Linked DNA regions of Macaca mulatta. The protein of the gene in region 3 purifies or fractionates together with the protein of the main gene of each other region. This does not show direct contact. Links are inferred from orthologs where the notes say so. Each region holds a gene or a part of one and is shown on either strand. Other genes may lie near its edges.

What was found.
Region 1: the proteins of RELB (region 3) and NFKBIE purify together in Homo sapiens (affinity purification with mass spectrometry; 3 studies listed by BioGRID and IntAct, counting the BioPlex papers as one, with this or other methods). This does not show direct contact. The link is inferred for Macaca mulatta from reciprocal best matches to the Homo sapiens genes RELB and NFKBIE.
Region 2: the proteins of RELB (region 3) and NFKBIA purify together in Homo sapiens (affinity purification with mass spectrometry; 4 studies listed by BioGRID and IntAct, counting the BioPlex papers as one, with this or other methods). This does not show direct contact. The link is inferred for Macaca mulatta from reciprocal best matches to the Homo sapiens genes RELB and NFKBIA.

Annotation. Positions count from the first base shown.
Region 1 is NC_133409.1:137,854,206-137,856,915, forward strand, and holds part of NFKBIE (NF-kappa-B inhibitor epsilon), read left to right. Parts: intron 1-12; coding exon 13-115; intron 116-822; coding exon 823-1,045; intron 1,046-2,385; coding exon 2,386-2,474; intron 2,475-2,641; coding exon 2,642-2,710. UniProt on the Homo sapiens protein: Sequesters NF-kappa-B transcription factor complexes in the cytoplasm, thereby inhibiting their activity. Sequestered complexes include NFKB1-RELA (p50-p65) and NFKB1-REL (p50-c-Rel) complexes.
Region 2 is NC_133412.1:108,520,485-108,524,831, reverse strand, and holds the start of NFKBIA (NF-kappa-B inhibitor alpha), read left to right. Parts: upstream 1-1,443; 5' UTR 1,444-1,533; coding exon 1,534-1,760; intron 1,761-2,370; coding exon 2,371-2,479; intron 2,480-2,806; coding exon 2,807-3,017; intron 3,018-3,307; coding exon 3,308-3,396; intron 3,397-3,503; coding exon 3,504-3,773; intron 3,774-4,143; coding exon 4,144-4,191; 3' UTR 4,192-4,347. UniProt on the Homo sapiens protein: Inhibits the activity of dimeric NF-kappa-B/REL complexes by trapping REL (RELA/p65 and NFKB1/p50) dimers in the cytoplasm by masking their nuclear localization signals.
Region 3 is NC_133424.1:57,520,360-57,524,006, reverse strand, and holds part of RELB (transcription factor RelB), read right to left. Parts: intron 1,851-3,647; coding exon 1,510-1,850; intron 1-1,509.

The DNA.
Region 1 (2,710 bases), on a different chromosome or scaffold from region 3:
CTGCTCCCCTAGGCTGGTCCACCTGGCAGTGATTCACGAGGCCCCAGCGGTGCTGCTCTGTTGCCTGGCTTTGCTGCCCCAGGAGGTCCTGGACATTCAAAATAACCTTTACCAGGTTGGTGGCGAGAGAGGGTTGTGCCTAGATACCTGTTTGTGCCCTGGCAGCCATCCCCAGCAGGCACACCAGTCCAAAGGCTGCTCACTTAGGAAACCAAATGCCAGACACAGCTAGAAACTGAGGAGACAGACACAAGTAAGACATGGCCTCTGCGCTGAGGTGCTTGCAGCCTGGGCTGGGGGACTCATATCACCAGCTAAATACACAGCCTGGTGACAAGAGTTGTGATAGAGACACATACCAGCTGCTGTAGGGTCCAGGGTCTGTGTGCAGCAGCCAGGGAAGGCTTACAGAGGAGATGACATCTGAATGGAGCCTTCACAGAGAGTTTCGCCAGGGAGGGACTGCCTGGTGCCTCTCTTTCCTCCTGCAGCCTACCCTCTGGGGGTAACAGAGGTCTCCCCATGGGGTGGGGGGCTAGACTCTGCCCCCACATGTCCTTTCTCCAGGGCCTAAGGTGACTTACAAGAAAAGCAGGGAGCTACTTTCTTCACCTTTCTTCCAGAATTGGGGTCACAAGAGCTTGGTGGGGGAGGGGGTGACAGGAGAAGGGCTTGGTAGGATTTCCTTGGAAGAACAGGCTATGGCCTTAATGAGCTACTTTCAAAGAAGATGCTGGCAGCTGGTGATTCTTGAGCCCAAGCATGTTCCCAGAGGTGGGAGCATGCTGCAGTGGCCCCATGACCCTCTGTTTGTGCCTCCAGACAGCACTCCATCTGGCTGTACATCTGGACCAACCGGGTGCAGTTCGGGCACTGGTGCTAAAGGGGGCCAGCCGGGCACTACAGGACCGGCATGGTGACACAGCCCTTCATGTGGCCTGCCAGCGCCAGCACCTGGCCTGTGCCCGCTGCCTGCTGGAGGGGCGGCCAGAGCCAGGCAGAGGAACATCTCACTCTCTGGACCTCCAGCTGCAAAACTGGCAAGGTGTGGACAGTCTTAAGGGCCTGTGGGATGAGGAGGGCATAGGAGATAGGGACCCCACTCTTGGGGAAGGGAGGGTCCCAGCTTGTCCATTGGTGCCCCTCCCACTCTAAGCACATAGATATTCCGTACATCTTTGCTAAATGAATGAATGGATGATTTGATTTTGAATTTACCCAGTACCTACTGTGTGCTGAGCAGAAAACTAAATCTTGCCCTTAAGATACTTAGTTTAAGGGCCGGGTACGGTGTCTCACGCCTGTAATCCCAGCACTTTGGGAAGCCAAGGCAGGTGGATCACGAGGTCAGGAGATCGAGACCATCCCAGCTAACATGGTGAAACCCCGTCTCTACTAATAATACAAAAAATTAGCCGGATGTGGTGATGGGCACCTGTAGTCCCAGCTACTCAGGAGGCTGAGGCAGGAGAATGGCGTGAACCCGGGAGGCGGAGCTTGCAGTGAGCCAAGATTGGGCCACTGCACTCCAGCCTGAGCGACAGAGAGAGACTCCATCTCAAAAAAAAAAAAAAGATAGTTAGCTTAATAGAGATTAGATGACCTGATTCATTCATTCAACAGAAATGTACTGAGGGTTTTCTATGTGCCAGACATTATCTTGGGAGCTACACCTGCATCTGGGTGCAAAATAGAGAAAGGTTGAGATGAGCAATAAATATAAGAAGTGAACTGTGTAATATCATAAAAGGAAGTAAGTGCTGTAGTAAAAAGTAGAGCGGAGTGAGAGGAAGGAATGTGGGGAGTAGGAGAGTTGATATGATTGTTAAATAGGGTGGCCCGGGAAGGCCTCATGGAGCCAGTGACATCTGAATAGGGCCTTGAAGGAGGTGAAGAATGTAAATTTGAATCGAAATCTCTATTACTAAGCAAGGGTCAGGAGTGTCCAGACCAGAAAGGAGAGCAAAAAGGCCAGGGGAGCACAGAAGGAAGTGGCCACTGAGAAAGGGCTGGGGTCATGAGGATCTTAGGTGGCTTTTCAGAAAAGGTGGCTTTCTGGGCTTGAAGGCAGGTTGTGTGTGTGTGTGTGTGTGTGTGTGTGTGTTGTGATTTGTGTATAGGAGGAGGGTGTTCTTTGGGGGTGTCACTCAGCAGCCTGACCCCTGAAGCATGAAAGTTTCAATAACATGACTCTGAAAAGGTGGAAACTTTGAGTTCCTTTCCCCTTAGACTTTTGAGGGGGTTTTGGGGTTTGCATTTTAACAGTCTTGTGATTAGAGACATTGAGTGGGCAGTGAGTCCCTTGGGGCTGAGTGATAGGGAGGTCCCAGAAGAGAGGGAGTTGGTGGATGCAGATGAGCAGCCCTCACCCTCACCCCATCCCAGGTCTGGCTTGTCTCCACATTGCCACCCTTCAGAAGAACCAACCACTCATGGAACTGCTGCTTCAGAATGGAGCTGACATTGACGTGCAGGTGAGGCAGCCAGCAAAGCACTGCCCAGCCCAGGGCCTGCCCCCACCTGACACAGCCCCAAGCCCCTGCCCAGCAGTCAGAAGTGGTGGCATTCACCTCCTTATCCAGAGCCCAGGCCCAGCACACTGCCTCTGAGGGCCTTGGCTGACATCCTTATTCCTTCCCAGGAGGGCACCAGTGGGAAGACAGCGCTGCACCTGGCTGTGGAAACCCAAGAGCGGGGCCTGGTACAGTTC
Region 2 (4,347 bases), on a different chromosome or scaffold from region 3:
TACATGGCCAGTCAAGGTAAAGATGATTGCAATCATCACCAGAAATCTCTGCAGAACTACAGAGGGCTCCTGGGACTAATTCTGAAGAGCTCTGACCGAAGTGTGCTTTATTTTGCCTGTACCAATTCTACCAAGTAGATGAATTCAGTCCATGGCTTGCAGGCTTGGAGGTGGAGGTGGGATGGAGAGCATAAATTACATTTCTGCAGGTGAAACCAGAGCATAGTGAGCCAAAACCCCTTTCTACCTGGGTGGCATGAATGGGTCCAACTGCTACTATCCCCCAGGACGAGGGAGCAAGGCGGGGGGGGGGCAGGATGGGAGGATGGGGCTGCCTTGAGCCTCCTGCAGGATGACTGGCAACTACTTTCTTAGCGGTCCTTAAGGTCCAATCGCGGTTAAGGCACTAACTAAACTCATTCTTCAGCCTCCTTCTCTAAGTGCTCCTCGAATTGCTCAGTTTAGATGCCCAGAAGTAGGCTCAGGATCCATTCTCTGCGGCAGCACAATGTAGGTCAGATAGCATGAATGCAACAGCTACTTATGAACACAATAGCTACTCTGTTATTGCAAGGTATCCACAACCACCACTACAAAGATTAACACCTTGCTTTACTTGGGGGGAAAAAAAAAAATCATGGTCCTATTCAGCAGTTTCCCCATACAGGGAGAGTTTGCCCCTCCCCCACTCAACAAGGCTGTTCATCCCTAGGAAGTGATTGGAAGTGATTTGAGAGTTTTCCAAAGATTTAGGCTTTCCACTCCTCCAAAGCTTTCACAGTTCTACCTGGCAGAGGTGCGTGGGGGGTAGGGGAGGAAGGGCGCGAAGCTAAACGTCCCCGTTCTGCAATGAGCCTGATATTAGCAGAAACACAAGAGCGGCCTGCAGCCCCATAACCACAGTGCGTCCTTCCCCTTAGAAGTCTGGGGAAAGAAAATCCCTACGCCCAGCCATCATTTCCACTCTTGCGTTTTCAAAAGATCAAAAAACGGAAAGGACCGGCAGGTTGGCAAACCCCAAAGAGGGACCGCCCATCATGTCGGCGTCCTTGGGATCTCAGCAGCCGACGACCCCAATTCAAATCGATCGTGGGAAACCCCAGGGAAAGAAGGTTCACTTGCAGAGAGACAGGATTACAGGGTGCAGGCTGCAGGGAAGTACCGCGGGGAAGGGGGCCTGGTCGGAAGGACTTTCCAGCCACTTGGCACTCATCAAAAAGTTCCCTGTCCGTGACCCCAGTGGCTCATCGCAGGGAGTTTCTCCGACGAACCCCAGCTCAGGGTTTAGGCTTCTTTTTCCCCCTAGCAAAGGACGAAGCCAGTTCTCTTTTCTGGTCTGACTGGCTTGGAAATTCCCCGCGCCTGACCCCGCCCCAGAGAAATCCCCAGCCAGCGTTTATAGGGCGCCGCGGCGGCGCTGCAGAGCCCACACCAGCCCGTGCCGCCGTCCCGCCCGCCAGCGCCCTAGCGAGGAAGCAGCGCGCAGCCCGCGGCCCAGCGCACCCGCAGCAGCGCCCGCAGCTCGCCCGCGCCATGTTCCAGGCGGCCGAGCGCCCCCAGGAGTGGGCCATGGAGGGTCCCCGCGACGGGCTGAAGAAGGAACGACTGCTGGACGACCGCCACGACAGCGGCCTGGACTCCATGAAGGATGAGGAGTACGAGCAGATGGTCAAGGAGCTGCAGGAGATCCGCCTCGAGCCGCAGGAGGTGCCGCGCGGCGCGGAGCCCTGGAAGCAGCAGCTCACCGAGGACGGGGACTCGTAAGTGGCGCAGACCCGGAGCCGGGGGTCCTCGGGAGGGCCGGATGCGCGCGGCCGGGGAGTGGGAGACGCCGGGCCTGGAGCCCGACCTGGGGAACTAGCGATGCAGCCGGGCTGGCGCCGCGGCGCCCCGGGGCTCCTGCACCGCCCCGAACGCTGCAGGGCTGCAGGGCCGCGCGGGGCACCGGCCCGACTCGGAGGGGCGGCGGCTGGGCCCTGGTGGACGGCAGCGTCGCCACACGCCCCCTCCCCCCAGGCCTGTCCTCTAGGCCGGGGGCGGGGCGGCAGCTGGGACGCGAAGTCCCCGGTTGCATAAGGCGTTTCTGGCCGCTGGCGGGCGCCGAGCAGCCGGGAGGGGAAGTACAGGGCGTTCCGAGCTGGCGGGAGGGCGGGGCGGTCTGGCCGGCGCCCGCCGGGGCCGCGGGGGGAGGGGGGCGGAAAGTCCCTGGGCGCCTGCCAGGAACACTCAGCTCATAATAACCTCGCGGAAAACACCGCGGCCTCGGCCTCCAGAAACCCCGGCCTTGCGCAATCCCCCGCAGCCCGCGCCTCCCTGGGCCCCACGCGGTGCACTCACCACCCCTGGGGTTTTTCCCTCTCTTCCCCACAGGTTTCTGCACTTGGCCATCATCCATGAAGAAAAGGCACTGACCATGGAAGTGATCCGCCAGGTGAAGGGAGACCTGGCCTTCCTCAACTTCCAGAACAACCTGCAGCAGGTGCGCCGCTTGCCTGGCCCGGGCTCTCTAACTCTGGGATGGAACTGATGTAGCAAAGTCACCCCAGATCCTTTCTGAATTCAGGGCCACTGGGCATTATTCACCCTCACCTTTTACTTCACGTCAGCCCACATCCTAGAGAGTGAAGGAAATTCCACTGATTTGGTGAGGTCTTTGTGACCCACCTGGAGTCTCTGCTATTTGCCAGTCCTCCCCACCCGCCTGTCCAGGAGGAGCAGCACCCAACCAGGAGACACGGGTTCAGGGGAACTCAGGGTGTGGGTTTGGTCCCTGGCTTACTTTCTCTGGTCTCTCCTGCATTCGTAGACTCCACTCCACTTGGCTGTGATCACCAACCAGCCAGAAATTGCTGAGGCACTTCTGGGAGCTGGCTGTGATCCTGAGCTCCGAGACTTTCGAGGAAATACCCCCCTACACCTTGCCTGTGAGCAGGGCTGCTTGGCCAGCGTGGGAGTCCTGACTCAGTCCTGCACCACCCCGCACCTCCACTCCATCCTGAAGGCTACTAACTACAATGGTATGTCTGCCTCCCTGCCCTGCCCCACCCCCTCAGGTGGCAGGTGATGTGGAGAAGGGGCAGGTGGGCCAACTTAAGGAGTCGAGGCAAGAACTTAAACTGCCAGCATTTGAAAGGTTGAGAAAATACGTGTGCAAAGTGCCTGTTGGATGCCTTTATAAAGTTCCTTCAGAACCCAGACGGTGGGTTCTTAAAATTCAGAAGATATGACTATTTGTCCCATAAAAGAATAGGTGAAAGGAGTGAGGGTTGAAACAGGTGGTTATACTTTTTTCGTTTTGTTCTTCCAGGCCACACGTGTCTGCACTTAGCCTCTATCCATGGCTACCTGGGCATTGTGGAGCTTTTGGTGTCCTTGGGTGCTGATGTCAATGCTCAGGTTAGTGCTTCCTGCCTCCGATGCACTGAGTCAAGTTCCCCGTGCTCATGTTGTGAGCAGAAATTCCAAACGCAGCCATAAGCATCTCAAATTCCTTTTGGTTTCAGGAGCCCTGTAACGGCCGGACTGCCCTTCACCTCGCAGTGGACCTGCAGAATCCTGACCTGGTGTCGCTCCTGTTGAAGTGTGGGGCTGATGTCAACAGAGTTACCTACCAGGGCTATTCTCCCTACCAGCTCACCTGGGGCCGCCCAAGCACCCGGATACAGCAGCAGCTGGGCCAGCTGACACTGGAAAACCTTCAGATGCTGCCGGAGAGTGAGGATGAGGAGAGCTATGACACAGAGTCAGAGTTCACGGAGTTCACGGAGGATGAGGTGAGTCTGTGAACTCCTTGGGCTCTCTAACTAATGAGGGACCATTCCCTTCACCCTCCCGGGCCCCTAGAACTGCTCCTTATCAGAGGGGTATCTACATAATGAGTCTCTCAAATTTCTGTGCATAACCAGTATCCCAATAATGTACCTTTTTTTTTTTTTAAAATAGCTTACCCTTTTTTAAAGAAAAGCATTTTTTAAAACATTTTTAAAATGGGAGTTAAAGGCAAACTCCCTCAGCCTGTAAAGTTCATTGTATTTGGGCTATGGAGAATGGAGTCCAAGGGTTATTTCCAGTAGCGGCCTCCCCATCCCAGTGGCTTGGCAGAGCTTCGGAAGTTTAATGTGTCTTCTTTCCCCTTGTTTTCAGCTGCCCTATGACGACTGTGTGTTTGGAGGCCAGCGTCTGACATTATGAGCGCAAAGGGGCTGAAAGAACATGGACTTGTATATTTGTACAAAAAAAAGTTTTATTTTTCTAAAAAAAGAAAAAAGAAAAAAAATTTAAAGGGTGTACTTATAGCCACACTGCACACTGCCTGGCCCAAAACGTTTTATTGTAGTGGGATCAGCC
Region 3 (3,647 bases):
CCGGATTCAAGTGATTCTCCTGCATCAGTAGCTGGGATTACAGGCGTATGCCACCATGACCTGTATTTCGTATTTTCAGTAGAGACGGGGTTTCTCCATGTTGGCCAGCGTGGTCTCGAACTCCCGACCTCAGGTGATCCGCCTGCCTCGGCCTCCCAAAGTGCTAGGATTACAGACATGAGCCACAACACCTGGCCTCAGAATTTGGGACATTCTACAAAACATCCATCCTGTTCTCCACAAGTGTTCATGTCACGAAACACAAAGACAGATTGAAGAACAGATCCAGATTAACAGACACCAAAGAGGCCAGGCATGGTGGCTCACACCTGTAATCCCAGCACTCTGGAAGGCCAAGGCATGTGGATCACTTTAGGTCAGGAGTTCAAGACCGGCCTGGCCAACACGGCAAAACCACATCTCTACTAAGAAATACAAAAATTAGCCAGGTGCGGTGGTGGACCTGTAATCCCAGCTACTCGGGAGGCTGAGGCAGGAGAATCGCTTGCACCCAGAAGATGGAGGTTGCAGTGAGCCGAGATCACACCACTGCACTCCAGCCTGGGCAACAGAACAAGATTCCATCTCAAAAAAACAAAAAACAAAAAAACTTACCTGTACCTTATTAACATGTTAATACCCTGCCAAAAGTAATCACCTTTGCGTTTTTTACTTCCAGTGTGTGTGTGTGTGTATATATATATATATATATTTGTTTTTTAATTGAGGCAGGGTCTTGCTCTGTTGCCCAGGCTGGAATGCAGTGGTGCAATCTTGGCTCACTGTAGCCTTGACATCCTAGGCTCAAGCGATCCTCCTACCTCAGTCCTACCATGTAGCTAGGACTACAGCCATGTGCCACCATGCCTGGCTAATTTTTATATTTTTTCTAGAAATGGGGTTTTGCCATCTTGCCCAGGCTCATCTAGAACTCCTGATCTCAAGTGATCCGCTTGCCTCAACCTCCCAAAGTGCTAGAATTACAAGCCTGAGCCACCGCACCGTGCACTACCTTCATTTTTTCTTTTTCTTTTTTTTTTTTTTTTGAGACAAGGTCTTACTCTGTTACTCAGACTGCTGTGCAGTGGTGCAATCTTAGCTCACGGCGGCCTGCACCTCCCTGGGCTCAGGTGATCCTCCCACCTCGGCCTCCTAAATAGCTGGGATTGTGCCACCACACCCGGCTAATTTGTGTACTTTTAGTACAAATAGGGTTTCACCATGTTGGCCAGGCTGGTCTCGAACTCCTGACATCAGGGGATCCGCCCGCCTCGGCCTCCCAAAGTACTGGGATTACAGGGGTGAGCCACCCTGCCCAGCCAAATGTCCGACCCCTCCTTTTTTCTGAATCTTTTGGATTCCAGGCCAGGTGATAGTATAATTAATATCTGGTCCACCAATAACAGTAATATTAGCCACCATCAAATAAACGTATAAATGCATGCGGATTGCTCCAGGGTGCAGGGGAAGACCCAGTCCCACCCGCCCGGGGCCGCTCGCCGGGCCCACCTCTATGGCGGGCAGCGTCTTGCTGGCCTCGGTGCTGCTCTCCCCAAGGATGCTGCCGGCCGAGCGGCCCTCGCACTCGTAGCGGAAGCGCATTCCGCGCTGCTTGGGTTGCTCGGTGATGACCAGGTGCGGCTGCGGGCCTGGGCCCTGCGCGGGCGGCACCAGCCTGCCCAGGGGGCAGCCCCAGGGCGGCGGGGTGGCTGGGGGCGCCACAGGGCCAAGGGTGACCGTGCTCAGCGAGGCCGCCCCGCGAGACACCAGGCGCGGCAGCCCCTCGCCCGGGCCCGGCTGCCCCCCATCCAGGCCGAAGCCGTTCTCCTTGATGTACTCATCGATTATCTCTGCGGGAGAAGAAAAAACGGGTGGTGACTCCGATTCTTTAAAAATTAAAAAAAAAAAAAAAAAAAAAAAACGCTTGATTAACCCCAAGACATTTTCCATCCCATTTATCTCACACACACACACACACACACACACACACACACACACACAGTCAGGGAGGCCAGATGCGGTGGCTCACGCCTGTAATCCCAGCACCTTGGGAGGCCGAGGTGGGTGAATCAATAGAGGTCAGGAGTTCGAGACCAGCCTGGCCAACGTAGTGAAACCCCGTCTCTACAAAAATTAGCCCACATGGTCTCCCACGTCTGTAATCCCAGCTACTCGGGAGGCTGAGGCAGGAGAACAGCTTGAACCCAGGAGGCGGACATTACAGTGAGCCAAGATCGCGCCACTGCACTCCAGCCTAGGCGACAGAGCAAGACTCCGTCTCTAAATAAATAAATAATAGGCCGGGCGCAGGGGCTCACGCCTGTAATCCCAGCACTTTGGGAGGCCAAGGCTGGTGGATCACGAGGTCAGGAGATTCGGACCATCCTGGCTAATGCAGTGAAACCCTGTCTCTACTAAAAATAAAAAAAATTAGCCAGGCGTGGTAGCACACGCCTGTAGTCTCAGCTACTCAGGAGGCTGAGGCAGGAGAATGGCGTGAATCTGGGAGGTGGAGCTTGCAGTGAGCCAAGATCATGCCACTGCACCCCAGCCTGGGTGACACAGCAAAACTCTGTCTCAAAAAACAAAACAAAACAAAACAAACAAAAAAATATATATATATACACAAATTGGGCATGGTGATGTGCGCCTGTAGTCCCAGCTACTCGGGAGGCAGAGGCAGGAGAATCACTTGAACCCGGGAGGTGGAGGTTGCAGTGAGCCAAGATCGTGCCATTGCACTCCAGCCTGGGCAACAAGAGCGAAATTCCATCTCTAAATAAATAAATCAATAAATACAAAAATTAGCTGGGCGTGGTGGCGCATGCCTGTAATCCCAGCTACTCGGAAGACAGGAGGCAGGAGAATTGCTTGAACCTAGGAAGCGGAGGTTGCAGTGAGCTGAGATAGCACCACTGCACTCCAGCCTGGGCGACAGAGCAAGACTGTCTGAAAAAATAACTTAAATAAATAAGAAAGGGCTTGCTCCTCCAACTGCCTGTTCCGCACGGTCCCCCATTCAACCCATGCTGGCTGCTTCTCCTGGTCTCAGCTCGTATGTTATCTCTTCAGAAAGGCCTGACCTAATGTGTCTTCCCCAGGCCAGCTCTCCCTCGTCCTGTTTATTTTCTTCACAGCTCTCAGCCCAGGCTAACATGATCTTGCTCATCTATTCATTTTGCTCTGTCTCCCCGACTGGGTTATCAGCTCTGTGAGGGCAGGGACTTAGTTTTGTTCATGGCTGAATCCCCAGGGCCTAGAACAGTGTCTGTCTGTACTCCTGAGGGGATTAATAGCATTATTTTAATTGGTTTTCTTTTTGAGACGAGGTCTTGCTCTGCTGCCCAGGCTGCAGTGCAGTGGTGCAATCATAGCTCACTGCAGCCTCGGCCTCCGAGGTGACCTCCTAGGCTCAGGTGATCTTCCTACTTCAGTCTCCCCAGCAGCTGGGACTACAGGTGTGCACCATCATGACTGCCTAATTTTAAAAAATTTCGTGTAGAGATGGGGTCTCACTGTGTTACCCAGGCTAGTCCTGAACTTCTGGCCTCAAGCAGTCTTCCTGCCTCTGCCTCCCAAAGTGCCAGGATTACAGGCATGAGCCATGGCCCCTGGCCTGCTGAGTGTTTTCCAAGTGTCAAGCACTG